Lytechinus pictus: one gene and its partners. The protein of the gene in region 1 interacts with the protein of each later gene in a biochemical or structural test. Links are inferred from orthologs where the notes say so. Each region holds a gene or a part of one and is shown in the gene's direction. Other genes may lie near its edges. The genes, in order: exportin-1-like, double-stranded RNA-specific adenosine deaminase-like, ran-binding protein 3-like and ran-specific GTPase-activating protein-like.

Region 1 (7,352 bases):
TCTTTATATTCAAATCCACTTTTTGTTGGGGTGGACTAGTCCTTTAAGCATTATTCCCCGGGCATTATTCTCAGTGTCATATCGGTTGACGACTTGACGTACTGATGCTAATTTCAAATATTTCAAGACCACTAAAATTAGTAACTCGGTCTTTAAAATCTTGTTGCTATAGAAGTGCCTTAAAACCTTCAATCCAGGCCTTCATATCATGTTTGGACATGGGCGGAAATCCCAGGGGGACAGGGGAGACGTGTCCCCCCTACTCAAAATAGTAGGGGGGACACAATATCAAATGTCCCCCTACTATTTTTGGTTTTTTATGATGGTAAGAAATACATCATTCTAAAGCGAAATAAAACATGTATTTTGGGACGAGATGACCTTACTTTTGGGATGATAACCTTTTTTTGCTTGTCAAATTTTCCCGCCCCTTGTCCCCGTAGGCGGACCAGGGGGCCGAGGGGTCCACCCCCCCCCCCCCCCCTCTTGGCGGAGCAAAAAAAAGAAAAAAAGGGAAAGAAAGAAGGAATAGAGGGAAAAGAGAGGAGAAAAAGAAAAGAAGGACGACGAGTGCATAAAATAAAATGAGAGGAAGACTTGGAAAATAAAAATAATCTTTCGTGCCACTATATAAAATTTTCGCTCGCGCTTCGCGCTCGCATTGCCTGTTAGATGACTTACATATCTTGTTCAATATGGAGCTCGAATGTCAAGTTTAGAAGTCAATATACAAAACATATTTCACCTCGGAAATCGAACTTCATTATTTTGTGTGATTTACAAATTGATTTTTAAAAAGTGCTCTGTAAAAATGTCAGTTTTATGGTCTGAATATGAACATTTGCTGCTTGCGCTGCGTGCTCGCAAATTATGATTTTTCAGGTACCTATTATTTTTCATGAAGTTTTCAAAATATCCCTTTTCAGGTCTGATTGTTGAGACGTAAAAATATCAGCTAGCGCGCTGCACGCTCGCATTTTGATTGGCGAGTTATATATGTTTCAATATTGATTGTACAACAAACTACATAAAATCCCCTTTTCATGACAGTTTATCAAAAATTTTAGCTCGCGATTTGCGCTCGCATTAATGGTTAAAAATATATAAACTGATGCATCCTATTCATAATTACAAAAGTAAAATGTCCAGTTTTTATGCCATAATATCAGATTTCGCGCCCTTATTAGCAGGAGGGGGGGGGGTGGCCTGTACAAACATCCCCCCACTTTTTACGAAAGAAATGAAAAAAAAAATCACAAGAGATAATTGTTTTATTGGTGAAAATTCTTCCAAAAATACCGCTTATCAAATAAAATAATATTATTGAATCATAAAATGCAAATAAAGAGCCAGTTCACCATTTCCAAACAAAATACTTATGTCCTTATTATAACATTGAAGAGAAACCCCCGTTTCTTCCAATTCATCAATGTTGGGGTCTTTGGGAAGGGATTAAGATAGAATGTCAAAATTTTTTAAAATGTAATCTCTAATAAAACCATTAAACCATCATGGGGTAAAAAAGATAATAATATCGGAGGGGTATTTGCCATATGGACATACAGTGGCGTAACTACGGGGGACATGGGGGGCACACCCCCCCCCCCCCACATCGGCTGACCAAAAAAAAACGGGGAAAGGGGGGAAAGGAGAAAAGAGGGAGAAAGGAAGAGAAAAGTAGTGGGAAAGAAGAAAATATTATTCATTATAATGTTATATTATAATTATGTTAAGTTACATTACATAAGAAACATTTTTATCATAACTTTATGAAACATAATTTGCCCAGGGCCTACGTCTTCATTGTTCCTGGTGCTCGCATTGTCTGTTTAACGAGATATATAATCCTGTTGTACTAAAACATCCCGTTTTCAAGTCAATATAAACCAAATATATTTCCTAGCACTTGAGTTATCATTGTTTTATGTAGTGACATATGCTTCATTTTCATGACTCAAAAGTGATTGCCCCATGTTAAGGTCTTCGTATATATGAAACATTTCCTGTCCGTGATTACGTTCGCATTAGTGGATTGGTGAGATATGTCTGCTCTTCATGAATTCCTAAAATCGGTCCTTAAAATGTAACTTCTTCTGATCTGAATATAAAAAAATTTCAGCTCGCGCTTCGCGCTCTCATCATTTGATCAGTGAGATACATATCCGTTTAATGACATTGTCCTTAAAATGTCTCTATTAGGTCACTCACTCAGTCATTCAAAAATTTTGCTGGTGCCCCCCCCCCCCCCCCCAATACCGTGACCCACGGTACTCCACTGTCAGTGTGGACATATCAATGACAATTCCTTGCATATCTAAAAACATGATTGCAAAAAAAAAAAAGCCAAAATATTTCAGTCATCCCCCCCACCCATCAACACGGATTTACGTCAGTGCTTATTAGGCATTAATAAATATGATATTAATTGAATAATCAAATTGTCCCTTTTGTTTCATCTCGCTTAGCAAGAGGAATAGGAAGATAGTCATCATTTTCATATGATGACATGTCGTAAGGATGTCCCGGTCCTATGTCAAAGCTCAGAGTAATAATAATGAAAATATCAGCTCTTTTTTAAGTGCGATCCATATCCACAAAGTGCTTCTACAAAGTGCTTGAAATATAAAGCTGAAATTGACTCTTTTTTCAGATCGGAATATCAAAGTTTCATGATTTTCATGATTAAAGATGTATATAGAATGCCTATAGATTCTAGGTCTAAATATGAAACACGCGCGCACATGTTAATTCAGATACTCAACTTGTTCTCTATTTAAATCATTATCCAGTTTCAGATCGCAATATCAAAATTGTTCTGCTCGCCGTGCTCGCATTATTGTATAGGAAGACCCCATATTACTCATCCTTTTCATGATTTACAAAACATGAACAGAGTGGCCCATTTTTAGGTCTAAATCTCGATTTTTTTTCTGCTCGCACTTCCCGCTCTCATCAATTATTAAATTATATAGCTATCCTGTTCACGATTACAAAAATGATTAAAATTTTCCATTCTTTCTCTAGAAAGTTCAAAAATTTTCAGCTCGCGCTTCGCATTCGCAGTTTTCTATTGTTGAAATATGTAACGCCTTCATGGCTAAGTGCAAGCAGTCCTTAACAGTTACCTTTTCAACAGGTACCAGTTCAAAACGTATATAAAAATTTTCTTTCATCAATTGTTTACTTAATTACCTATTCTGCTTGAGTTACAAAAAGTGCTTAGAATTTCCATTCTTTAGGTGAAAAAGTCAACAAAAAATTGCTCACGCTTCGCGCTCGCATTATTTGATAGTTAAATGCTACTTTAACAGGTATTTTTTCCATCAGTTCATTTGCATGTACTCGCGCTTTGCGTTCGTAGTAATTATTAAGTTGCGTACACATCATTTTTCAGGATAACAAACATTGCCCAGAATGTTCAAATTTTAGGAAAAAATACAAAAAAAAAAATCAAAAAATTGCTTGCGCTTCGCGCTCGCATAATATAAATAAGGATTATGATATTACATATAAATTTATAAGAATAAAGCTAAGAAGTGACTAATGAGGACTACCCCTTCAAAAAAAAAAAATCGGGGAAATTATGGCTGAAACAAATTTCCGCCGCCCCCCCCCCCTATTGGCGAAGGTTGGATCCGCCCCTGTGTCCCCCCTACCTTTTGGGAGAGATTTCCGCCCCTGTGTTTGGACATGATAGAGCTAAGACTTTGGCGTCTCGGCAGATCGACTAGGCTAGTGCAATGAGCAAGCTGATCGGTGTCATATCCCCACTTAATCTTTAGTATTTGATTAAATAATTTCTCCTCCGCAGGGTACGGTAAGATTGACTAAACTGAATTAATATTAAAGAAAATTATTGCTGCAACTGATCATGATACAAGGGAGACAATTCGAGTACACTATATGAAAATGTGAATAGCATTATACGAAAAAGGAAAGCATTGGCACTATCTTGCATGTTCGATTATTTGCATATGGGGGCCCCATGGGGCATGGTCTTATTTCACAATAGGCCTAATATACAGTATTGCTAAACTTTGAAATTCAACTTTGTTGTTTTGTAATAGAGAAGCGTTGTGGTTAGTGAATTTTTACTCTGCTTGTTTGGGTATCATTATTTCAGCCCGAAATACTCCATCATTGAGCGACCAATATAATACAACCATATACAAATTTAACATAATGATAACAATAAACAGGTAACGGGCATGGTACCCAGCTGTCAACCAATCATATTTTAGAACTGTATACTGTTTTGCATGTGAATTCTGAAGCTGCGCCCTCTACCTCGCTCTATCTGTATATATCGCAACTCGAAAAGCGCCCGCGAATATATATATTCCTCTCTGCTCTTCCAAATATGTAATGCGAAATAACAAACTTGACCCTTCGCTCCACATTACATCGTGTTGATTAAGAAGCTCATTACTGCACATAAACATTAAACAATTTGTATCTTCAGTTCATTATATGATTGTGAATTATAAGTGTGATAATGTATCACTGAATATTTTGATGGATATGATTTTCGCAGTGTGCAGAGATACTACTCGCGTATACGACAGCTAGCTGCTGCTGCGCCGAACTGGTTTTGACCGGTTTTTATTCGCCAAAAATTTCCATCACTCGAGACGCCGAATTCGTCGGATGGAGATCGAAGCTGGATTTACTCTGAAATATCTTAATTTTAAATGGCTGAAACATCCTCGAATTGCCAGATAATATAGACAATTAATGAAATGAAAGCTTGATTCACGAATGCTTTAATGTAAGCGTCGTGTGGTATCCAGGTTAGCAATTTACAGAGCAGATAGTTCACGTGGGTTCTGTACTCGTCTCGGCGGACGACGGCCAGCAGCGGAGAGCTATCATAGCAAGTAAGTAAAGCAGAGAGGCCGCATTCTCATTGGTCCATGCATGCTAGGGTCTTGCCGAGTGAGTGTACAGCCCAGCGAGCCAGCTCCAGCTGGCATCGTTCGAATCAGCGATCAGCTGAGCTCTCACTCAGCTAACCCAAGCCCAAGGAGCTTCGGCGCCGCCCCTTCGACGGTGGTGCTCATTTTAATTAAGCCTGGGGCCATGCTGCTTGTTGCTAGCTGATGAAGTACTATGCTAGGCCTAGGGCCTGGACCCGATGAAAACTAGTAAAGGCCGGGGTGCCGGGTGGTTATGATTGTAAAAAAATTGTAAAAATTGTAGAGACAGCTGGCAGCCGTCTGTTTCGAGGAGTTCTTTATTGATTTTTAAATTTCAAATTTTTTAAATTTCTCCTCGTACACAGACGGCTCGCTATCGTGCAGCCACCATTACTCATTAGGGTAGGGGACTTAAAATGCAAATTCCCCCGTCGGGGCTCTTCGATTTTTGTCTTTATTTCATAAAAATATTTAAAGAGAACTGTACCAAAAAAAAGAAAGATTATTATCATGATTCCTATTCCGTTTTGGCCTGAAAAGTGAAATGCACCAAAACGGGGAAAAATAAACTTAAAAGGGGAAAAAACAGTGACTTACTTCGGCTGTCGCGCAACTTCACTTCCCTGTTTTATCCGAACTTGATACGGCCATTGAGTCCCCTGTACAGATCGAGCTAGAACTTCGGTCTCTGTATTTTGGTGAGTGGAGCCAACGGAGTTCAGCGGAACAATAACAGAGACCGAAGCTTTTGGTCTAGATCAGTAGATGTAGATCTATTCTAGGTCCAGATCAAGACCTGAAATTCTGAATTTGCACAGTTTACCATTTTAACATAATTTTGTTAATCAGAAAAATATGATTCATTTTGATTTTGAAATCTGAGTTTTTTAAATGTATGGTAAGGGGACCTAACTTAATTGATGCTACGCGGGTCCTAAAGCTACGCACCACTCATCGCGCATGCAGTTTTTAATGGCAAATGTGCACTCTGTGTGTGGCCAGTGACGAACGATTCGATTCCTATTCAATTGTTACTACAGAAGCTGCAGTAAATCTCTAATTAAAATGCAGCGAAAACCCACAAGTCACAACTGTTTGGAATTTTGGAGTTATATTCGCTTTAATTTCATTTTATCCTATAATAATGTGAACATATTTTAGAAATTGAGGCACAGGAAAAATGCTATTTTTTGCATGATAAATCGAGTGCGTAGCTTTAGGACCCCTTCGACATCGGAATCAAGAGGTGTTAAAAAAACACTGGAATTTACGTATTACGTGAGTTTTGCAATATTTTCTTTTTGGCTAATGATTTATATTTGCCACAAATTAGTGAAAGATAATTTGTTCAATAATTAAAATTGGCATAGTTTTTCAGGGGCCACGGAACGGTTTTCGAAGTGGGGGGGCTGACCATGCAAAAAAATCACAATCATATGGTAATTTTTACGTTTTTGTACACGGTTTTGGAAAAAAGTGGGGGGGGGGGGGCTGAAGCCCCCCGCTTCCGCGGCCCCTGTTTTTATCGTTTGAAAACAAAGTGCTTAGCTTTAGGTCCCCCCATCATAAAACTAAAAAGGGGGGGATGTTTTCTGAGTTTTTAGGCTAGGCCTTCAAGGTCAGGGGTTATGTTGTTTTTTTGGGGGGAAGGGGAAGGCATGTCTGCATTTGAGCTTAATTAAAATTAAAGCCAAGGTACTAATTTGCAGTTTCGCACCAGCCGATTTCGAGAGAATTTCCCCACCAATGGTTGTTTGCAAAAGTTAATAGCAAGTCTCAATCATATTTCAAGGCCAAGATAGACTACCCACCACTTTTCCGAACATCGCAATCAGGAACGGCTGTATTTCGGCTTCGATCTCGACATCATTCAAGTTCCCAGTCAGACATTGCTTCGCTTGGAGTTGGATTTGCTGTTATTTTGATAAGGATTGAAATAGACAACCAAAAGTTTTTTAGCTGATATCAGATTTTTTTTTTTCAGCTTATTTTTGGCTTTCTTCTGTTCAAAAATATGAGAGCTCTTCCTATTTCAGACTTTTTCATCACTCTTCAGCTTTTTTCAGATCTTTTTATTTGTGACTACTCACACCCCTGAATATGTAGACTGATACTCTAATGTTAGACCTATTCATTAAAAAAAATCTGACTAAAGAAATGGGAAAATATTGTATTTCAGGCATTTCAGTCGAAAGCAGCCATTCTCAACAAAATCCTTGAATCATGTGAAAAGTGAATGTGTGCTTATAAAATTTTGGCTCTATTTTTTTGTTCAGTTTGAAAATGTTTGGCTGAGGATTCTTTAATCTGAAAATGATTGGCTGAGGTTTTTCAAGAAAATCATATTTGAAATTTTTCTGACATTTGGGGCACACTACTCAAGAATATATTATATATCAACTGGAAATTATGATGGAATTTTAAAGAACTTCATGT
Region 2 (7,463 bases), on another chromosome or scaffold:
GCGGGAGAGTGGAGACGCATTCACAATTTATGCTATTCTGATCGTTAGTCATGAAAATGGATAAATAGATGAGACATATCTTGTATGAAGAGTAAAATGCATATTAGCATTGATCAATGATATGTTCATTTTAACATCATTTATTGTTTTTTAAATTAGATTATAACTCTGTATTACTCTGTGGATTGATCTCCTAACTTTTATGAGGTATCAAATATGTGACGGTAAAAAAGCAATATTGACCTAATTGTATGTCTTGCATAGCAAAGCTCCTTGGAGTTGGACGATGAATTTGCATGTTCAAGAAAGGAAGATCACATTTCTAATATCAATATCTGTAGTAGATTTGAAACTACTGTATGTTGAAATGTCGAAAATTTGCAGTATTCTCATGCACTTATGCCACCTTCCCCCCTTTGTCAATTTTTTTTAATGTTTTTTTTTTAAGGGGGGAGGTGGGTTTTTTGTAGAACTCTCCCATGCATGCTATGGGCTATAAACTGTACAGTGCACTAATACTCCTAGTAAATAAGGTAGACAGCCATCATAATCATTATTTAGGAGAGCTTTGCTGGCAACAGGATGCAAGCATATATCCTATATGACCTAGCTTGCACTCTTTTATAAATCGACCTCCATAAAAGAGAGAGATAGATAGATAGATACATGTAGATAGATAGATAGATAGATATTGATAGATAAATGAATAAAACAAATATAATAAAATATGAAATAACTTCATTTATGAATAAATAAAAAATGAAAAACGAAAGCAAATGAACATTAATGTATATATTTCTAATTAGCCTCTTTGAAAATAGAAATAAACTGGCGTTACTTTAAATTAACTGGTTACTTCAGCCCCTGAGAAGTAGGCCATCAAGTCTGCATGTACACATACAGTACATGTATGTATAGGCCTAACCTGAAATTGCTCAGTACATCTATCATTCTTGAACAAGGTTCAATAACTTCGAAGCAAAATAGATCATTTTGTTTTTCTTTACGTTCATTTTAGTACAGGCAAGGGATGTTTCGTTGCTATGCCATCTCCTTGAAATTCAAAGCATTTAAGCAACTTCAATTGTATTATACATCCAAATTTTATGTGCATTTTTATCAAGCCCAGAGGGATGGTTTGCTTTATGGCCTCGCCCTTTCACTATTTTAGTTGGCATTGACCTATTTATTTCCACCTGGTTAGGGGATGAAATATTCATGCCAGTGCAAGCAATGTTTTGTTGGCCAAGCTTTTCGTGCAGATGTCACTGGAATGATTGCCCCCAAAGGACAAGTGTCCCTTCCTCAGTCCCATCCATTTCAATCTATGTGTTTATGACCCCCTAGGAAATAAAACCCAATGCAGTGTCTCAGCGATGAGTGGATGTTGGGGAGATATGCGTCCTTCCCATGGTCCTTTGTGTTGGAGCGGTATGGGGTGTTTTATAATGAAAATGGCACATGAGATTAAGGTCTTGAGTGATCCAATGAGTGTGGGTTGATGTTGATTAGTGCGCATGTACATGATGTACATGCATTCATCATTCTGTTAATTGTGAATATGAGAATACTGAAGCCTCTATGCAGCCTCTCTCTCCCATGCCATCTTCTGTTCACTTCCATCACTCATTCAAAATTTGCATCACTTGTTAATTGTGAATATGAGAATACTGAAGCCTCTATGCAGCCTCTCTCTTTCCCATGCCATCTTCTACTCACTTCAATCACTCATTCAAAATTTTGCATCACTTGGTATATGGCCATGCACTTTGCCTACATAAAACCCACTTTGTCCATTTTCCATTATTTTGGTCTGATCCCACATGTTCTAAATTCCCATTTTATCTACAACCAGTTTGTCTATGAACCATTTACCACTTTAATACATGTAGCCTGTTTCACACTTTGCCTAATTTCCATTTACATGTAGGCCTATTAAACTCACATGGTCTAACGGTTCCATGACATTTGCTCTGGCGAGAACCGCTCCGATGGAAAATCTTCATGTTTAGCCAAACATAAAACCTATTCCTCCAAAATCCAATACACCCAAATTCTTTTCAGGTAAACTATTCTGAACCCAAAACTCTATTACAAGCCAAACCCTAACCTTATGCCATTTGAGATATAATAATTAAGATTGGGGCAATTGTTGCAGGAGCACATGTTGTGTCATCACCCCCACTGGTCTAGCACCACTTTAATAGTCTCTTTGATAATGAGCTACATGTATTACACAGTAAAAACGCTGTTTAAGATTTTATACAACGCTGTTTACTATATGAACCTTACAGTATTTGTTTAACCGTTTAAACATGTTTAATTTATTGAAGATTAGATATTGAAAATTAAACTTTGTTGCTTAAGATTTAAACACTTGTTTATTAAAACTGTTTAAACAATTACTGTAAGGTCCATATAGTAAACAGCGTTGTATGATTTTTTTTTACTGTGTAGTAATGAACTCATTTTTTTATTTGACAAAGTGTGGCAAAGAATGTAGACCAAGTGGAAGTTAGACTAACTGGACATGAGACTCAATGGCCCGTATTCTGATAGCAGGTTTAAATTAAACTCAGGTTTAAAGTTGTGGTTTAAGTATGGATAGCCAATTGTTACATAAATCATAAACAGTAGAGATATCATATTTCAGCTCATTTGGCTCTCAAATCATTCATAATTGTCTAAGAAGTATAAATAGATGATTGTTTTCATCAAAGATGAATCCGGAAAGAGCACAGTAGACAAAAGACACATACATCTTAATAAAAATTTTGATACTTTTGGCTTCCCATACTTAAACCACAACTTTAAACATGAGTATAAATTAAACCGACTTCAGAATACGGGCCATTGACAGTAATCCCAAATAGGCCTACTAGGCCTATTAGACAAAGTGGCAACTAGACCAAAGTGATCATAGACCAAATGAGACAAACTAAGAAGTAGCCTGACTTCTTGTAGACCAAGGCCCCAAAGAGTTGCGAATTTCGATTGATATGATCAACCTGAACTATGGAAAGCCAGCAATGCCCACATCTGAAAATGAAATCCATTTTTGTTCAAAATATTTTCTAGATATGATGTTTGTATATTGCATAAAGTCATTGTTTTCTTGACAATTTTGTGTGTTCACCTTTGTTAACAAAGGTCATTTTGCAAATTTCATGTAGTAAACATTTTGACACTGATGGATTTCCATAGAGTTACGATTGATTGGATCAATCATAATCCTTTGTAAGATGGGGACCTGGTTTCACTTGAACTTGTTTGCTGAAGGAAGTGTCCATTTACTTCATATCGTCATTAACAATATCTCAAAAAATGTTTTTTGATTTGTTTTCACTAAACCACCACCATCACATCACTAACTTATTTTGAAATATTTGTTGAAATGTTTGTTCCTAATCTGAGTTCTGTGTGTTGTTTTCTTTTTTCTAACTGAGCTTGTAGTAGCATGTATTTATATATTTTGGGGACTTTATTCTCAAAAAATATTTTATAGACATTTAAAAAATGTTGTTGAAATTTTGATATCATGTCAGAGAGACTCTTGATATATTTCTGATTTATAATAATGATTTAAGATTATTCTTAAAATGACAAGAGTTCCTGTAATTTTAACTATAATTAAATGATTTTTTTTAAACATAAATCTGGTCATTTTAAATTGAAATCTATTAATGGCCCCTCTGACAAACATTAGAAATCACAAGCATGTCTATGCGATCATTCACTGGATGTTTCCATATCTCCTCAAAATTGGCAAAATTGAATTAACAATTTTAGGGATTTTCATTGACATCTAATTTCTAAACAATGAAAGCTTAATCCATGTCAGAAATTGGAAGTAGGGATGATGCTATCGCACTATGTTTCAGGCACTGTGTTTTCTAGGCAAGCTACTCTTGTGTGTATTCATTATGGTTTCATACATACGCTCTTCAGTAGCCCAGTAGACACTCCTACTTACATCTGAATTCATTTCTGAGTGCATGCTTTCCATTTCATGTATTATTCATGTGATTCATCTTGACAGTCATGTACCAAATCTATATGATGTATCAGTTGGTTTTGACTCCTAGTATTATTTAGATATATACGTTGCTGAGAAATGGCTCAGCAACATTATTTTATTCACAGTTCATGTATGATGAAATAGATTGGCCAATTCGATATGATACTCATGCATTTATATCAACAAGCTTAATGTTAAAATATTTTATTCGTTAAACATGTATCAACTTTTGGGAACAATAAAAAAAGAACCAATTAGATTAAAAAATCCTGTTGTAGGAAAAATAGTTGCATATTAATTTTTGTTTGAATGTATGTTAAATGATAACTATATGATTCATATATTCTTTAGCATTAATCACTGTTTGGGAGAATAAGGGTTTTGTTTATTTATTCATACATTTTTTTTGTGTGTGTCTTACAGGGTTCTTCTAAGCGAAAAATGGGCTCAAATACAGAACTGGCCAACAGCATCCTCAATAAATTAAAAGAAAGCAATGGTTCCATGGAAACTCTTGAATTGGCTCGATCGCTGGGAAGGCGTTCTCGCAAGGACGTTAACCCGACGCTGTACCGGATGCAAAAGAACGGCCTTATCTTGAAGGTGTCCGCGTCACCTCCAAAATGGGGCTTAAAACACGAGGTGACTGTTGGCCCTCTGCATGGTGCGACCGCAGAGGATGGGGACAATCGGCAGGAGGCGGAAGAAACGGGGGAGGAAGCCCTTTCTGGTGGCAGCGGTGGGATCGACAGAGAGGATGTCGGGGAAACGGAAGTCATGGAGGAAGGGAGCGGAGGTGACGTTCCTGCCGCAGAGCCTTTGGGTCGTCCTGTTAATCATTCCACACCCATAGACGCAGGTCGGCTTTTCCCTCCGAATCACTCCGGGTACAACGGGACACATCCTCTGCCCGGCGTTGACCCCATGGCTTCGCCAACCAACAATTCCAGCTCGAGCGATGATTCAGAAACAGCCGAGCAACCTGTCATGTTTGCAAAACCACCACCTCCACCACACGAACTGCAACAAAGCTTCTCAAAGCCATACACGCCAAATGGCATGGACCACAGGTTACTGGTGGCATTGAACGAAAAAGTAGAATCTATCCATTCCAATGATCTTGCCAAACAGCTTGGTTACCGCACCAAGAAGGAGATCAACCCAACTTTGTTTAGTATGCAAAAGAAAGGACTTGTAAGAAAAGTGTGTGAGTCTCCCCCTATGTGGGTCATCACCCAGTACGGGAGACAGATTCTCGAGACTGATCAGCAGCAGCAGCAAAGTGCAGAACAGGCACAACCAAAACCGAGTCAGTTTCCAGGGATGGTGAGTCCTCCCGTGCCAGGCATTGCTCCTCAGATGGTAAACATGGGACCACAGATGGAGCAGTTCCAGGGAACTCCTGGACATCCATTCCCGCACATCCCTCAGAGTCCTCAACCACTCCTTAATACCAACGACGACAGACAGTCCATCCATAATGAAAGAGTCAATCTCCAAGCAGCAATCAATGCCGGGATACCGCCAGAATTTGCCACGTTAATGTTTGCCTCTCCGGACATGGAGATGAAGGTTTTGTGTGCATTGAGCAATCAACAGACTCAAGGAACTCTTGAGATAGTCCATAATGTAGGTCTCAACAGAGGCAAGGCCAAAGATGTGAATCCTTCGCTCTATGGGCTTGCCAAACGGGGATACATCACTAAAGTCACGGACAGTCCTCCAACCTGGCACATCAACGAGAAAGGCGTCGACCTCATCACCAAGGAGAAAAAGCCATTAGAAATGAACGGCGCCACCAAACCGATGGAGATTCCAAACCATGTCAACCTGGTGACAGGGGCACCCGGAGTTCTCATGTCACAGCCAATGGGGGCGCCGAACCATCAGAGTGGCATGCTTCCTCCTGATCCTCGGTCTCTTCTGCAGAGTTGGGATCAAGGAAGACAAGGTCCTGGCTTTATCCCAGTATCTTTTACACCAACCATTCCTACTCAGGTATGTACCATTCCTATCCTTGGCAAGTTGCAGAAAGAGTTGCATCTAAATGCAACTGTAAAAATATCAAGGGCAACTTTGTCTGCAATGGGCCCATTCCTACAGTACTTCCTCTTAAAGATTGGGTGTTTTATCTATTAAAGTATGAGGTATGGTGCATTGCAAGAGACTTGCGATCAAATTAGGGCATGATTTCCAGCCTTTCCATCTTTTGTTTTCACAAATGTATATTCAATGGGATGAGCGATTAACTATTGAATCATGGTCAGTTATTCTTTAGGAGAACATACATGTAATATTTCAGATCCAACATGTAAATATCTTATGCTCACAAGGTATACTGTATAATTCAGGAAAAGTAAATTCATTTGAATAAAAAAAACCTTTCATTTTACACAGGTTGCCCCCATCCGAGCTACCACCATGCCTTACATGCCCCCGAATTCCTTTGCAAACCAAGTCAACAGCACCCCTATCCCAGCATCGCCAGCTCCCCAGCCACAGTCTTCCCACAATGCACCAGCCATCGGGTCGTCGACAGGTCAGGCAATCAACAACGAGATGTTTGCTGCTATCAATAAGAACCCTGTGAGTGCGTTGACGGAGTATGCCCAGGCCAGGCATCTACCGGTTTCAATAGATCTTCTTCAGCAGTCTGGACCACCGCATAATCCAAGGTGAGTACTGGAAGGGGTAACAGCATAAATCGGTAGGGGTGCATGGGGATAAAGATGGGCGTAGGATTTGCAAGTTACATACTGGAGAGGGATTGTGGAGCAGTGTGGATATCAGACCCACTTACTGTCTGGGAACACTAAAAATGGCCCAGCCCCGTAGCTAGAGTTTTCAGTGAGGGGCATGATCGATTTCTGAAAAATTTGACAAGCAAAAAAAAGGGTTAACGGTCCAATCTCTTGGCTTGATCCCCAAAAAACTGTTTTCCTCCCTGGATTTTCTTGCTTTGGAAATTTTAACAGATTCGAATGAACCCTCCGACACCCCTTTGCTATGGGATTGTGGCCCCAGACGAATATATTTGATTTAATGAACTATTTCAGAAATTATTCCCATTCAGTTATGAATGATTTCTTAAATTTCCTATGAGCGGATATTTTGAACTTTTACTGTCAGAGATAATGAGATGGGTCACATAATAGGGTAATATAGGAGCGCCTTGAGCACCTAGCAAGGTGGATATGTGCGCTATACAAATCCTATATTATTATTTTGTTATAAAGGGTTACAACTCTTTGCCATAATGGCAACTTGTCTGGTAACAGGGTTCAGCAGCTAATCATAATGTGTTTGAATCCCACCATGGCCTACATGTAGCGTCCTTTGGCAAGGCGTCAATCCACAATTTGCCACTCTCCACCCAGGAGTTAAATGGGTACCCGATAGGATTCGAAAGCCTATGTATATGTAGTATGCCTAGCAATTGAGTCTT
Region 3 (7,362 bases), on another chromosome or scaffold:
AGATTTAGTCCTATATAATTTTTACTGAACGAGACACTCTATATATGTTTTGTAAATCCTGTTAAGGATGAGTATTAATAATGCGTTTTGAACTGGTACCTGTTGAAAAGGTACCTGTTAAGGACTGCTCGCATTTAGCCATGAAGGCGTTACATATTTCAACAATAAAAAAATGCGAGCGCGAAGCTCGAGCTGAAACATTTTGAACTTTCTAAAGAAAGAATGGAAAATTTTAATCAGTTTTTGTAATCGTGAACAGGATAGCTATATAAATTAACGATTGATGCGTGCGCCAAGCGCGAGCAGAATTTTTTTTCGAGATTTAGACCTAAAAATGTGCCAATCTGTTCATGTATTGTAAATCATCAAAAGGATGAGTAATATGGGGTCTTCCTACAATAATAATGCGAGCATAAAGCGCGAGCAGAAAATTTTTGATATTGTGATCTGAAATTGGATAATGATTTAAACTAGAGAACAAGTTGAGTATCTGAATAAACATGCGCGAGCGTGTTTCATATTTAGACCAAGAATCTAGGCATTCTAAATACAACTTTAATCATGAAAATCATGAAACTTTGATATTCCGATCTGAAAAAAGAGTCAATTTCAGCTTTATATTTCAAGTCCTTGTATAAAAATTGCAAGGTGGATATGGATCGCACTTTATAGAAAAGAGTTGATATTATTATTACTTTGAGTTTTGACATAGGACCGGGACATTCTTACGACATGTCATCATATGAAAATGATGACTATCTTCCTATTTCTCTTGCTAAGAGCGAGATGAAACAAAAGGGACAATTTAATTATTAAAATAATATATATTTATTAATGCCTTATGAGGGCGCGAAATCTGATGATATCATGGCATAAAAATTGGACATTTCACTTTTGTGATTATGAATAGGATGCATCAGTTAATATGTTTTTAACCATTAATGCGAGCGCAAATCGCGAGCTAAATTTTTTGATAAACTGTCATGAAAAGGGGATTTTAAGTAGTTTGTTGTATAATCAATATTGAAACATTTATATAACTCGCCAATCAGAATGCGAGCGTGCAGCGCGCTAGCTGATACGTCTTGAAAATCAGACCTGAAAAGGGATATTTTGAAAACTTTATGGAATACACGAAAACAATAGGTACCTGATAAATCAAAATTTGCGAGCGCGCAGCGCAAGCAGCAAATGTTAACATTCAGACCATAAAACTGACATTTTTACAGAGCACTTTTTAAAAACCAATTTGTAAATTACACAAAATAATGAAAGTTCGATTTCCGAGGTGAAATATGTTTTGTATATTGACTTCCAAACTTGATATTCGAACTCCATATTGACAAGATATGTAAATCACCTAACAGGCAATGCGAGCGCGAAGCGCGAGCGAAAATTTTAGATAGTGGCACGAAAGATTATTTTTATTTTCCAAGTCTTCCCCTCATCTTATTTTATGCACTCGTCGTCCTTCTTTTCTTTTTCTCCTCTCTTTTTCCCTCCTTTTATCCTTCTTTCTTTCCTTTTTTTTCTTTTTTTGCTCCGACAAGAGCGGGGGGGGGGGGGGGGCGGGCCCCTCGGCCCCTGGATCCGCCTATGGGGACAAGGGGCGGGAAAATTTGACAAGCAAAAAAAAGTTATCATCGCCAAAGTAAGGTCATATCTCGTCCCAAAATACATGTTTTATTTCGATTTAGAATGATGTATTTAGAATGATGTATTTCTTACCATCATAAAAGACCAAAAATAGTAGGGGGGACATTTGATATTGTGTTCCCCCTACTATTTTGAGTAGGGGGGACACGTCCCCCCTGTCCCCCCTGGGGTTTCCGCCCATGCCCACTATGACAAGCAAGAAAAAAAAATCCCTAATTTTAGCCGATGGATGTCATAGCCCTGGGAAACGGGGGTGCTGGGGTTGCTGCAGCAACCCCAAGATTTTGCTGGGGTGGGGGGGGGGGGGGGGGGAGGGACGTTGTTATTTACTATAGGCAGCACCCTGGAAATTAGAATTGTATGTTTAAATGTCTATGCTTTATACTGATTATAATATCAATGTGACGCAAGTGTGATTTCTAAGTGAAAATATGCTTTGTTTATTCACATATATTTCTTGAAAAAAAAAAGATTTTTTCTAAGATACATATCGGTTACCAAAATACGTTAAAATGTGCATTTTATTTTACTGTTCAGAAATTTCAAACTTTTATCTACAATAAGACCAATCTTGTGATGAATAACCAATTCTAAGAGCAAAAAACGATGATTGGAAATATCGTACTCAATGGGCTGCTGTCAGCTCAGCTGCTCACTGCTCTTTGTGTGACATTCAAATTCAAATTCAAATTTATTTATTTCACTTCCATCAATTGTACATACATGAATTGTATACCATATATAAACATAAATATTTGTATACGTTGCAAAAAAAGAAAATAATGATACATATGTTGTGAAAAAAAAAAAAACACTTAGACAATTTTGGCAACACATTGTAGGTTTTAAATAAGTATACTATTTTTCAATAGAAATTAAATTAAGATGGAAATGGAGGGACCCACTAAAAAGCAATGCTTGTACAATGTGGGCCCCTCAAAAAAATAGATAACACAACAAATAACAAAATAACAAAATAGCAAAGTATAAATACAGATAATCAAATGAGAAAAAAATCAATAACTGAGAGGGAAATACTCACAAAATAAATACAAAGTTATCAAAAATATACAGTTAGATAAAGGACAAAACAACCCGTCCTAAAAATATCCACCCTTCCCCACATCACTCAACTGGAGCTCGCCGGAGGACCGATGAAGGCAGAAATAAACATATGGCATGAAAATAATTTGTTTATTTATTTATTTATTTATCATTATTATTATTATTATTTTTTTTTTTGGGGGGGGGGGGGGGGGTGGGTTGTCATTTTTTAAACGAAACCCGCCATAGTACCCCCTATTTTTAAACCGTTCCTAAGGCCACCGAGGGCTCTGTTAGTTTGTAATCGAGTGATGCATCCCTCGATCACCTCCTGGCTCCTATACAGCGTGTCTCTAAAAAAAGTAAACCCAACTTCAATGGCAAATTTTCAGAAAACTAAAAAATATTTACACATTATTTTTTCATGGTTAGATAGTCCAATAAGTCCTCTGTCCAATTATATCACTTAGGTTATCTAACTCTTATGCATGACTGAGCATGATTCAACTTAGTGAACTGGTGTCAAATCATCACTGTGGCAAGTTATTTCTTGCTATTGTCATGCATTCAAGGCCTATTTGAAGTTAAATTTTGGTCACATGTTAGGCCTATAATTTCATAACAACTTCAGCAGCAAAGGTTGTTCCTCACACAGGCACACTTCACATGCTTTCCAAACATGGTACAGTTGACAATTGAGCAGAGAGTATTCCTGGTAACTCAATACCAGGAAACAAGAAGTTTCGTGGAAGTTCAAGAGGCTTTTCGGGTGCAGTTCCCCGAGAGGCAGCCTCCAACAAAAGGGCCATCTGGTACAATGTGAGAAAGTATGCTGATCACGGAACCACTGAGTTTAACTTCAAATAGGCCTTGAATGCATGAAAATAACAAGAAATAACTTGCCACAGTGATGATTTGACACCAGTTCACTAAGTTGAATCATGCTCAGTCATGCATGAGAGTTAGATAACCTAAGTGATGTAATTGGACAGAAGACTTATTGGACTATCTAACCATGAAAAAATAATGTCTAAATATTTTTTAGTTTTCTGAAAATTTGCCGTTGAAGTTGGGTTTACTTTTTTTAGAGACACACTGTAGACAATACATTTACCCCCTTTTTAAAACCTTTTCCCCCTTCTCTTTATTCTTTACCATGTTACCTTTTCTATACACTTTCCTCCTTTTCTTTCCTCCCTTCTTCCTTCCTTCCTTCCTTTTTCTTTCTTTCTTTCTTTCTTTCTTTCTTTCTTTCTTTCTTTCTTTCTTTCTTTCTTTCTTTCTTTCTTTCTTTCTTTCTTTCTTTCTTTCTTTCTTTCTTTCTTTCTTTCTTTCTTTCTTTCTTTCTTTCTTTCTTTCTTTCTTTCTTTCTTTCTTTCTTTCTTTCTTTCTTTCTTTCTTTCTTTCTTTCTTTCTTTCTTTCTTTCTTTCTTTCTTTCTTTCTTTATAATTCTTTCTTTCTTTCTCTGGTATTCATAATTCATTCATCATTCATTCATTCATTCATTCATTCATTCATTCATAAACCCGGATAATATTACCCCCGTCCCTCTGATTGAATTTCCCTCCTTTTTTAAAAACTGAACAGACAACCCAAAGACGAGATCTGCAAAGATATATACCATGCCTCTACATCGGTAGTATCGAGCGCATTGAACGCAACGTTTACCACATTCCATGCAGTTTGTCTTCAAGAGCAAATCGTTTACCACTAGTAGTCCAATATGGCGGAATCGCAACCGGCTGCAACTGCTCCAGCAGGTTCGTGTAAACAATCAAATTGATATCTCTGTCATTGTGTTTGTGTGTTGTCTGGTCTGAATCATGATTAAATATATCTGTTCTGATTGGTGAGTTATGTTTCTGCCTAATATCAATGATTTGAATGGTCATTTTGAGTGCAAGAGAGTGTTTTGTTGAGTCTTGACTTGGGCCCGAAAATTCATTCTGGATGAGGCCATCCCGATTTTGGCATGTGTAGTTTCTTGCTCGTGCCTGTGAATTGGTGATTTCACGATTCCTTGTTGTCCTTGATGTGCATTCAATAAAATACTTAGCATGCAAAATCACTGGCTGCAGTTCATCAGTTGTGCTTCCCTCATAAAGTGTGAGTGGTTGGCTTTATTTTTTTAGAATTGGGTGTCCACATTTTTTATTAAACTTTCTAATGCAACGACTAACGTCAAACTTACGTTACAGCAGTAGAGGCGCACGGCCAATATGGCCTTATTGGAGACTCTCTCCAATAGGGGAGACAATCTCCCACATTGGAGACTTGCTTTGCAAAAGGACAAAAGAAACAACACCAACAAAAGCATGATTTTTTCCACCTAAATTTTGTCTCACTGAGGTCAGAAGCCCATTTGTTTTGTGTGTGATTGACAACAAAAATCCTTATCAAAACAAAAGTAGACGGTGAATTTTTAAAGTAGACGGTGAAAAGGGGTAATTTTTCATGAGGAATCTGCTTATCACATTTTTATTTGCCGCCAAGTTAATCCTTTTGCAGCAAATGTAAACAAAGGAAATTGGACTCCAAAACTGGAGACTGTCTCTGAAATTGGATACCCAAATTCTTTACAAAAGTCTCTGATATTGGAGATAATCTCCCACATTGGAGACAGTCTCCAATATTGGCCGTGCGCCTCTACTGTACAGCACTGTCAGCAGGGTGTTATTTGTTAACTACCTCAGGCGATGTTCGTGCAGGCTCCACTCCACTTCACTACTGCTACACTACGCTCCACCTACCCGAACATCGGGACAGTAAACTCGATCGGATATTCCGAGTCACAAAGGTGGGATGGCAATCATGGTTATCGTAAAAATTAAAGAAAAAAAATATAACGAGGGATAAGAATGACTTATAATATCTTACTCTACACCCGTATTTCACTCCGTGTCCATCCTCCGGTTATCCTCAAAATTGGTGATTTTGGGCCAGTATCTTTTTTCCTCACACGTATTATTCACGGCCGATTTCAAAACATCGCATGCGATCGCGATCGATCAGCGACCGATCGCATGCGATGTTTTGAAATCGGCCGTGAATAATACGTGTGAGGAAAAAGATACTAGCCCAAAATCACAAATTTTGAGGATAACCGGAGGACAACCATGGGTTCATATCATCTCGCGTGCGAAGGAATATTAGTCATATGCACGTGACACACACGACACATCCAAAATATACTGGGCTTTTGCCCACATAAAATATCACGCATAATCTGGTATTTCACATTCTGCTATGACACTTACCGAATCATTTAGAATTTTCTGTGACTTCTCCTTTAAGTTTCTTTTAAAAAATATGTATATTTTCTTGATCTTTAGTGAAGATTTCACGGAGATAAAAATTGGTCAGCGTGGATATCAATTTTCGCCTAAAGAGGGCGTGCGATTTATATTCATATCAAAGACACGACAAGGGAAAGACTAGGCACCTACACTATTTTACACGCAAATCGACGCAAGGCATTACGCGAAGTCCGTGAAGTGTCCAATCTTTTCATTGTATAGACTTTGGTATACTGTATTATTGACGTTCGTTAAAGCTTGTACTGCTGGTTTCGTTCCAGGCATGTGTATTTTTTCAATTTTTTTTATTAGTCATCGTTTTAAATTAATTGCAAAAAAGTGTTATCATCGCCAATAGTAATCTTGAATTATTTTTTTGAAGGTATTTCATTTATTGTTGCCCATAATTAGTAAATTAATCATAAGAATTGCGCATTCAAAGAATTTAGACACAGTTATAAAATTACCGAGGTGCTGAATCAAGGTTGTGAAATTTATTAGCGCCACCAACGGGCGAAGTCACTTGCTAGGCCGAGGTAAGCGAAATTTGCTCTTTTTGTAATGAAATTATTTCCAAATCATATGTATAATTTTTTCATGTATTGCTACTTACCGGAAAGAGCCCCGATGCGTAGCGAGAAGGAGTTTCCGCAAATATTACTTCAGCAATGAAGCGATGTTTGCCGACTACTTCGAAATCCAGGGTCAAACACGGTCCCTTGTACGAGGTTAGTAACCTCGTATTAGTGTGAGTGACCGGAGGATGGACACGGAGTGAAATACGGGTGTAGAGTAAGATATTAAGTCATTCTTATCCCTCGTTATATTATTTTTCTTTAATTTTTACGATAACCATGATTGCCATCCCACCTTTGTGACTCGGAATATCCGATCGAGTTTACTGTCCCGATGTTCGGGTAGGTGGAGCGCAGTGTAGCGGTAGAGAAGTGGAGTGGAGCCTACACGAACATCGCCTGAGGTAGGTGTTAACCACCCAAGGGTTCATTACATGCCGCCGCCGCGCATAGAAAAATCAAGCCATAGAAGTCGTGTGTTGTGGACACCAGAAGTGAGATCCCAGCACGCTCGACCCACTAGTTAGAAATCCACTGCCAAACGCAGTTCATGGTGCGAGGTTAGTATACTCATACTAACCTCGCAGTACGTGTGAGTGGGTGTTAACTGCTAGATTGTAAAAAAAAAAGAATTAGAATAGAAATTGATTATTAGAAATGGGTGAGCAAAAATAGCCATCAAGTTGGTTCATGGGGCTTTGCATCTGGGAGTTGTATTTACATGCCAAACAAGCTAGCCAAGGCTTCAAGGCAAAGCCAAAGGGGCAGTGCATGTCATTTCCTGTAGATT
Region 4 (6,913 bases), on another chromosome or scaffold:
CTAGTGGAGTGTTACATGAAAGGACTTGTCAGATGTTTTATCTGACAAAGTGTGTTTCTCAGCCAATCAAAATCAAGGATATTTGTCTGATAAATGTTGATGAAATGCTCTCCTGAATTCTTCATGTTGTTGATGAGGCCTATGTATTTGATTTATTTTTTTATTGAAATATTTCTTAGAAATTTCTGTTGAATACACCTTTTGTAAGTGAAATTGATGAAAAATAATTAAGAGAATCAGGGTCTCAGTTTTATAATTATGAGGGGAGCAATAAAAAGCTCTTCTAAAAGTTTTAAGGGGAGCGGTAGAGGAGCACTGCAAAAAGCTCTTCTTTGACTAACAAGGGGATTTTTTTTGTCTGAAATTAAAAAGTGGATGGAGGAACATACACTTAGTTGCAAACCACAACTTAGGAAACAAACAATCAGATGTATAGGCAACATTGATCTCAATGAACTTTTTGTTGTCATTTTTGCAATGTGTGTTATTGCCTTTTTGTATGTCTTCTAATTTGACTTAGAATGAGGTTTTCAAGCTTGGCTCTTAACAGTTCAATCATTGACTGACACTCTTATTCTATTTTCAGGCTAAGTGATGTCAGAACAGAGTCATATGGAAATAAAATGTAGAAACAATTTTTAATTGTGTATGATGTTGCCTGTTTTCAAATTTTTCTGCATTTATCATTTCATATCACAAAAAAAAAAAAAATTCGCTGAGGTGAGCAATAAATCGCTCTACCTGAAATGGTTTAAGGCAAGCAGTAGCGAGTGATCACTCTCCCCTGTAAACTTAATTTTAGTCCCTGGAGAATCACAGTTGTCAAAATGTGATGAACTTTATAATGTTACTAGAAAATTTATATTTGCTAGAATTGACTTGTAAACTGGTAAACTTAATGAGATGGAAGGGAGCTGTGAAAACTTACAACTATGATGAGTTTATCAAAATGGTGTAAAAAATGTTATGCAACGTTGTTTACTATATGAACCGTAGGCCTACAATAGGTGTTTAACAGTATAAACAACCATGCTTTATTTATTGAGAATTACATATTAAAAATTGAACTTTGTTGTGTAAGATTTTAAACACTTTTAAACAGGGGAGTGATATTCAAAGATGAAGTCGAGGAAGATCATAAGGAAGAGGGTGGCCAGGAAGAGAGACTGAGAGAGAGAGGGGAAAAGGGGGGTGTAAAATAACAAAATAGAAGAAGGAAGAGTGGTGATGGTGAGAGGAGGAAGGAGATTTGAGGCAAGGGGGGGGGGGGTTGTAACACTGAGGAGGAAGGAAAATAGAGGAGAATGACAGGTGAGAGAGATAAGGAGATACTGAGTTAAATGAATAAGAAAATGGGTTGAGATGGTAAAAATAAGAAGTTTTTCTCTCCTCTGATTTAAAAATGAGGTAGAAATTCACTTTGAAGAGTAGAGTCGTCATTGTAAATATTAAGCTAAAATCAAGAACTTCTTTATCATTCTCAACAAAAATAGTATGAAAATTGTAAGCTATAGTTACATCATTGCTCTCGCATTTGCGTAGACCTATAACCCATTTACTTTTCTGAAAGTAAAGTTTTATAATGTCACATCTATCTTATTTTCCATCCGATCTTGATTAAATTTTCAATGTTATGCCACTTTTACTTGTCTTTATTAGGTCCATGATTATAGAGGTGGGTCTGAAAATAAAGTGTGATAAAAATGAAAGGACTGGCGCCCCGCAGTCTGCAAATCAGTCTCTGGAGCCACTGCCCTAGACGCAAGTCCCGATGTCTATTTATATCACCCCCGGCAGCAATTTCTTTTTGTTCATCAGTAGGCCTATTTGTCAGGGTTTTTTTCATAAATATTTGAGGCGACACGAAACAGGATATTTGGTAATTTCAGCTCGATCGGTGTGGCTCTCCGTTTTTTTTCGTGCAGGGGTCGGTGGTCAGGGGGGGCAAGAGCAAAAAATTTCCCGGTCATATGGTATGAACAGGTGTTAATGAGGCGACGATTTTGAGAGGGCCAGATATTGCATATCGGGCAGAATTTATCTTTTAAAAAAAAGTTGCGAGCGAGCAAAATATCTGACATTTTTAATACAAAAATCCAATTTTGTGATAGATTTTGACATGATATCCAGAAAATGATATCACTCTTCTCTCTTTCCATTCCTTTTTTGTGGTCTGTTCGCCACTGTGAGCAGGATTCTTTGCGGCAGTAGCGTGAAGAGTAAAAAAAAAACGAAGGGCGCAGTATGGTGCATGTGCTAAAAAGCTGCTTGATACAAGTCCCGAGCGAGCAAAGCGACCGAGAAAAAAAATCACCTTTTTATTAGAATCTAGTAACTTTGAGATATTTTTGTTGACATTATATTCAGCAAATAAATCATATCCTACACTCTTCCTTTGCTTTTCTTTCCTCTTTTTTTTTGTTCTTAGTTGTAGATTTTTTGGGGCCATATGGCCCAACCCTTCCATACTCATATACAGAAGTCCTATGCGGTTGGGGTCTGGGATGGGGCCCCCGGAACTTTTTGATATCAATGCCATTAAACACTCGCAGATCGCCGCTATTTTTAATCAAATCTCGGATAAATGCAGAATATAGCTTTTACACAACACATTTATTCAACCCAGTTGCGTAATGAACCAAATATTTTGAGGGGGCAAAACAGCTAGCAATGTGGGAAATTTGTTTTTAAAAAATCGCCAGCAAGTAAAGCGAGCTGGAAAAAAAATTGCCTATCAAATTCTAATTATGTGATAGATTTTTCCATTATATTCAGCAAATAACACATTTTATTGTTTCCATTCATTTCATTTTATCTCCTATAATTTCTTTTATTTCCTCTTGGGTGTGGAACCAAGACCCCCCCCCCCCCGCCTGTACGCCAGTGATTGAACGTAAAGCTAAATGTAGGAAGGGTCCCTATTACAGGGGCGCCTAGAGCCATTTAAAGGTTATAGATGAAGAGCCCCTAAAAGCCGGCCCGGTAGCTTATTTGCATAAAATTTATCAAGCTTATAGCACAATGTTGAATGCTCTCCATCTTTCTTCCCGCTCTTTATTTTCTTGTCCCTTTTCTTTGTTTTTCAATTTAGCTTTTGACTAAGATCCATTCAACCTTCATTTCCTGCTATTGTTTGCCATTTTGTCATATTTTAGTTTATTTCCCATCATGCTATTGCATTACATAGGCCTATTTCGGAATGATTTGTTCTTTCTCAAATGCTCTTCTTTCGTTCCTTTTCCCGCTTTCCATCCTTTTCCATTAAAAAATTCTTCGTTTTCTTTTCACTTTTCCCTTTCCTTTTCCTTCTTTCCTTTTTAATTCCCCTTTCCTTCCCCTTTCTCTTTTTTTTTCTCCCTCCCTTTTCTCTTTTTCCCCGTTTTTTATTTTCCCGGTGAAATCCGCCAGGTGGCAGGGCGGGGGGGGGGGGGGGGGGGGCTGTTACGCCACTGTCCACTAGCTTGTTCTTATTTGATTGTATGAAGCAAGGTTTATTCAAAGATTCTACCAAGAACTAAAACAATTGGATCGACAACTGATTAAGTGCATTATTAGTTATTTATTGCCGCAACTTATTTCATCATAATGGAGACGCATCATGTACTCGTATGAAAAAATGAAACATTTATGATTTCATGTAATAACATAATAAAATTAGGGAAAGTGGAAATGTGACATCATCAGCCCACCTAATGAATTTTCATGACGATGTGCATATCCCTGTTTTCACAAAATATTGATAAACTTTAAAATGCAATAACTATGTTATTTGTTATCCGTTTTGACGAAAATTTCAGTATTTTGCTCTGTGAATTTTACTTTATTTATTTTAATATAAATGTCTTCAGCCCGGACCATCCCTTTGACCAGCGCGCGCTTTAGCTGGGGTGGGATGAATGCGCTGTATAATTCATAATAGACAGTAACTCGTGATTCTCATACTGAACTCGTTAGGATATAGGGTATGGTTCCGGAATTACTGTCTATTATTTATTTCTATTGCACAAAATACGTTCATCGTACGTAAATACCTAAATTGCAAAATTTCATTCATTCGTATAACTGTCCGATTCTTTGTGCATCCGCCGACATCCACCTAACGAAATGGCAGATGTGAGTTTTTGATTTGTTAGAATGTGTCTTAATGTGTAAGATGTGATTTTCAAATGAACTTTGTCACGATTCGACATTTCTTATCCGTAAACCGCATAGATTTTCACATGTTGTGTTGCGTGAACTGAATGAGTCCTTCGTGCAGCTGTACTGTCTGTAGCCGTCATAACTGAGTGAGCCTAACATGACTAACGTTAGCTCCTAACATTAGATGAGCATCTAACTAACTTATTATGGAAAAGAGATTTATTATATCGGCTTGTCCACAGACATGAGTGAAGAAATTGAAATAGAATATTTAGGTGATCTGTCATTCCTGTCAATCGACAGGACAGATCAACTACACTATTTCGTACAAATTAGGCCTAGGGCTAGGGCCTAATTATTTAGGCCTAAATCAAAATATTTAATTTATTTATATTTTTCCACCCTTGTCCCACTCACGCGTATTGCAAGGTTAGTAGTATACTAACCTCGCACCATGAACCGCGTTTGGCAGTGGATTTCTAAATTCTAACTAGTGGGTCGCGCGTGCTGGGATCTCACTTCTGCCTGGACCTGGTGTCCACAACACACGACTTCTAGTTCTATGGCTTGATTTTTTTGTGCGCGGCTGCATGTAATGAACCCTTTGGACTTTGGTGCCCTTGTCCCACCAAAATCTGGGCCTAACTTACATCTTCAATTTTTCTCAAAATATCAGTTATGGGGACATGTCAGCCGTCTGTTTCGAGGAGATTTTTTAACATTTTAAATTTTTTAAAATTTCTCCTCGTACACAGACGTAGCCTGGAGGCGTCTTGGGGAGTAAAAGTAATAATACTCTATCACTCATGTATGGTCACTCCCGAGCTCCCCGAACGCCTGGCGTTTGTACATAGGCTCCCATGCACCAAACAGTACTAGTAGAGGCGCACGGCCAATATTGGAGACTGTCTCCAAAATGGGAGATTATCTCCAATATCAGAGACTTTTGTAAAGAATTTGGGTATCCAATTTCAGAGACAGTCTCCAGTTTTGGAGTCCAATTTCCTTTGTTTACATTTGCTGCAAAAGGATTAACTTGGCGGCAAATAAAAATATGATAAGCAGATTCCTCATGAAAAATTACCCCTTTTCACAGTCTACTTTAAAAATTCACCGTCTACTTTTGTTTTGATAAGGATTTTTGTTGTCAATCACACACAAAACAAATGGGCTTCTGACCTCAGTGAGACAAAATTTTGGGTGGAAAAAATCATGCTTTTGTTGGTGTTGTTTCTTTTGTCCTTTTGCAAAGCAAGTCTCCAATGTGGGAGATTGTCTCCCCTATTGGAGAGAGTCTCCCATATTGGCCGTGCGCCTCTACTGCCAAAGAAAAAGGCAACTATAAAAATGCGCCAAACTGCTAGTTATGTTTAGAATCTGAGGTTAACAGTAATGTTGTAAATCGGATCAAAAATCAGATCGAAAATCGGATCGGCAGTTAAGCTTCTAAAATCGAAATCGAATCGAAAATCGAATCGGCGATGTTTAAAAACAAAGGAATACATCAAAATGTTGTTCGCGGTCGCGCGCATCTTCCTGACAAAGTCACAAAGACGAATGCATTGGAATGGAAGTCGCCAACATGCGCGATCGTTTGGAACATGTTTTAAAGCCAGGGGTTTTGAGGTGTTATTGCTTTAAAATAAACCGAGTGATTTTTATTAGAAAGATAAACGAAAGACGCATCTTCCGAGCAAAGGCGCAAAGGAAAATAAAATGAAAATATTCATCATAGATCACAGGTTAATGAACGATCGGCGGGACATCTTTTAGAAGTATTTTTAGGTGCTAGCGATTTAGAATTATTGGAATGATCTCTTACGACGCATCATCTTAAAGTCGCAAGTGCAATTAAAATGAAGTAGAAGACGCAAGCACGCAAGATGATTTGAAATATGTTATTAAAATGTTTTGGGTAGCTAGCGTTTTCAAATCAATTTGAAGTTCACGGCGGGGTCCGCTATCACCACGAGGTTGAAGAGAAGATGTCTATCATCATAAAGGGGGTAAGAGAGTAGCGCAGTGAGCTCCGTCGGTAATACGACCTTTCAAAATTCACGGCGGCATCCGCTATCACCACGAGGTTAAAAATAATGTTGTAAATCGGATCAAAAATCAGATCGAAAATCGGATCGGCAGTTAAGCTTCTAAAATCGAAATCGAATCGAAAATCGAATCGGTATGTTTAAAAACAAAGGAATACATCAAAATGTTGTTCGCGGTCGCGCGCATCTTCCTGACAAAGTCACAAAGACGAATGCATTGGAATGGAAGTCGCCAACATGCGCGATCGTTTGGAACATGTTTTAAAGCCAGGGGTTTTGAGGTGTTATAGCTTTAAAATAAACCGAGTGATTTTTATTAGAAAGATAAACGAAAGACGCATCTTCCGAGCAAAGGCGCAAAGGAAAATAAAATGAAAATATTTCTCATAGATCACAGGTTAATGAACGATCGGCGGGACATCTTTTAGAAGTATTTTTAGGTGCTAGCGATTTAGAATTATTGGAATGATCTCTTACGACGCATCATCTTAAAGTCGCAAGTGCAATTAAAATGAAGTAGAAGACGCAAGCACGCACGATGATTTGAAATATGTTATTAAAATGTTTTGGGTAGCTAGCGTTTTCAAATCAATTTGAAGTTCACGGCGGGGTCCGCTATCACCACGAGGTTGAAGAGAAGATTTATATCATTATAAAGGGGGTAAGAGAGTAGCGCAGTGAGCTCCGTCGGTAATACGACCTTTCAAAGTTCACGGCGGCATCCGCTA

The links.
Region 2: the proteins of exportin-1-like (region 1) and double-stranded RNA-specific adenosine deaminase-like form a complex in vitro, tested with the Homo sapiens proteins (2 studies listed by BioGRID, with this or other methods). The link is inferred for Lytechinus pictus from reciprocal best matches to the Homo sapiens genes XPO1 and ADAR.
Region 3: the proteins of exportin-1-like (region 1) and ran-binding protein 3-like form a complex in vitro, tested with the Homo sapiens proteins (2 studies listed by BioGRID). The link is inferred for Lytechinus pictus from reciprocal best matches to the Homo sapiens genes XPO1 and RANBP3.
Region 4: the proteins of exportin-1-like (region 1) and ran-specific GTPase-activating protein-like form a complex in vitro, tested with the Homo sapiens proteins (3 studies listed by BioGRID, with this or other methods). The link is inferred for Lytechinus pictus from reciprocal best matches to the Homo sapiens genes XPO1 and RANBP1.

What each region holds. Positions count from the first base shown.
Region 1 is NC_087251.1:44,096,808-44,104,159, forward strand, and holds the start of exportin-1-like, read left to right. Parts: upstream 1-4,342; 5' UTR 4,343-4,877; intron 4,878-7,352. UniProt on the Homo sapiens protein: Mediates the nuclear export of cellular proteins (cargos) bearing a leucine-rich nuclear export signal (NES) and of RNAs.
Region 2 is NC_087250.1:3,399,712-3,407,174, reverse strand, and holds the start of double-stranded RNA-specific adenosine deaminase-like, read left to right. Parts: upstream 1-4,443; 5' UTR 4,444-4,459; coding exon 4,460-6,016; intron 6,017-6,415; coding exon 6,416-6,693; intron 6,694-7,463. UniProt on the Homo sapiens protein: Catalyzes the hydrolytic deamination of adenosine to inosine in double-stranded RNA (dsRNA) referred to as A-to-I RNA editing.
Region 3 is NC_087255.1:28,227,744-28,235,105, reverse strand, and holds the start of ran-binding protein 3-like, read left to right. Parts: upstream 1-4,344; 5' UTR 4,345-4,424; coding exon 4,425-4,461; intron 4,462-7,362. UniProt on the Homo sapiens protein: Acts as a cofactor for XPO1/CRM1-mediated nuclear export, perhaps as export complex scaffolding protein. Bound to XPO1/CRM1, stabilizes the XPO1/CRM1-cargo interaction. In the absence of Ran-bound GTP prevents binding of XPO1/CRM1 to the nuclear pore complex.
Region 4 is NC_087246.1:7,323,232-7,330,144, forward strand, and holds the start of ran-specific GTPase-activating protein-like, read left to right. Parts: upstream 1-3,889; 5' UTR 3,890-4,104; coding exon 4,105-4,113; intron 4,114-6,913. UniProt on the Homo sapiens protein: Plays a role in RAN-dependent nucleocytoplasmic transport. Alleviates the TNPO1-dependent inhibition of RAN GTPase activity and mediates the dissociation of RAN from proteins involved in transport into the nucleus.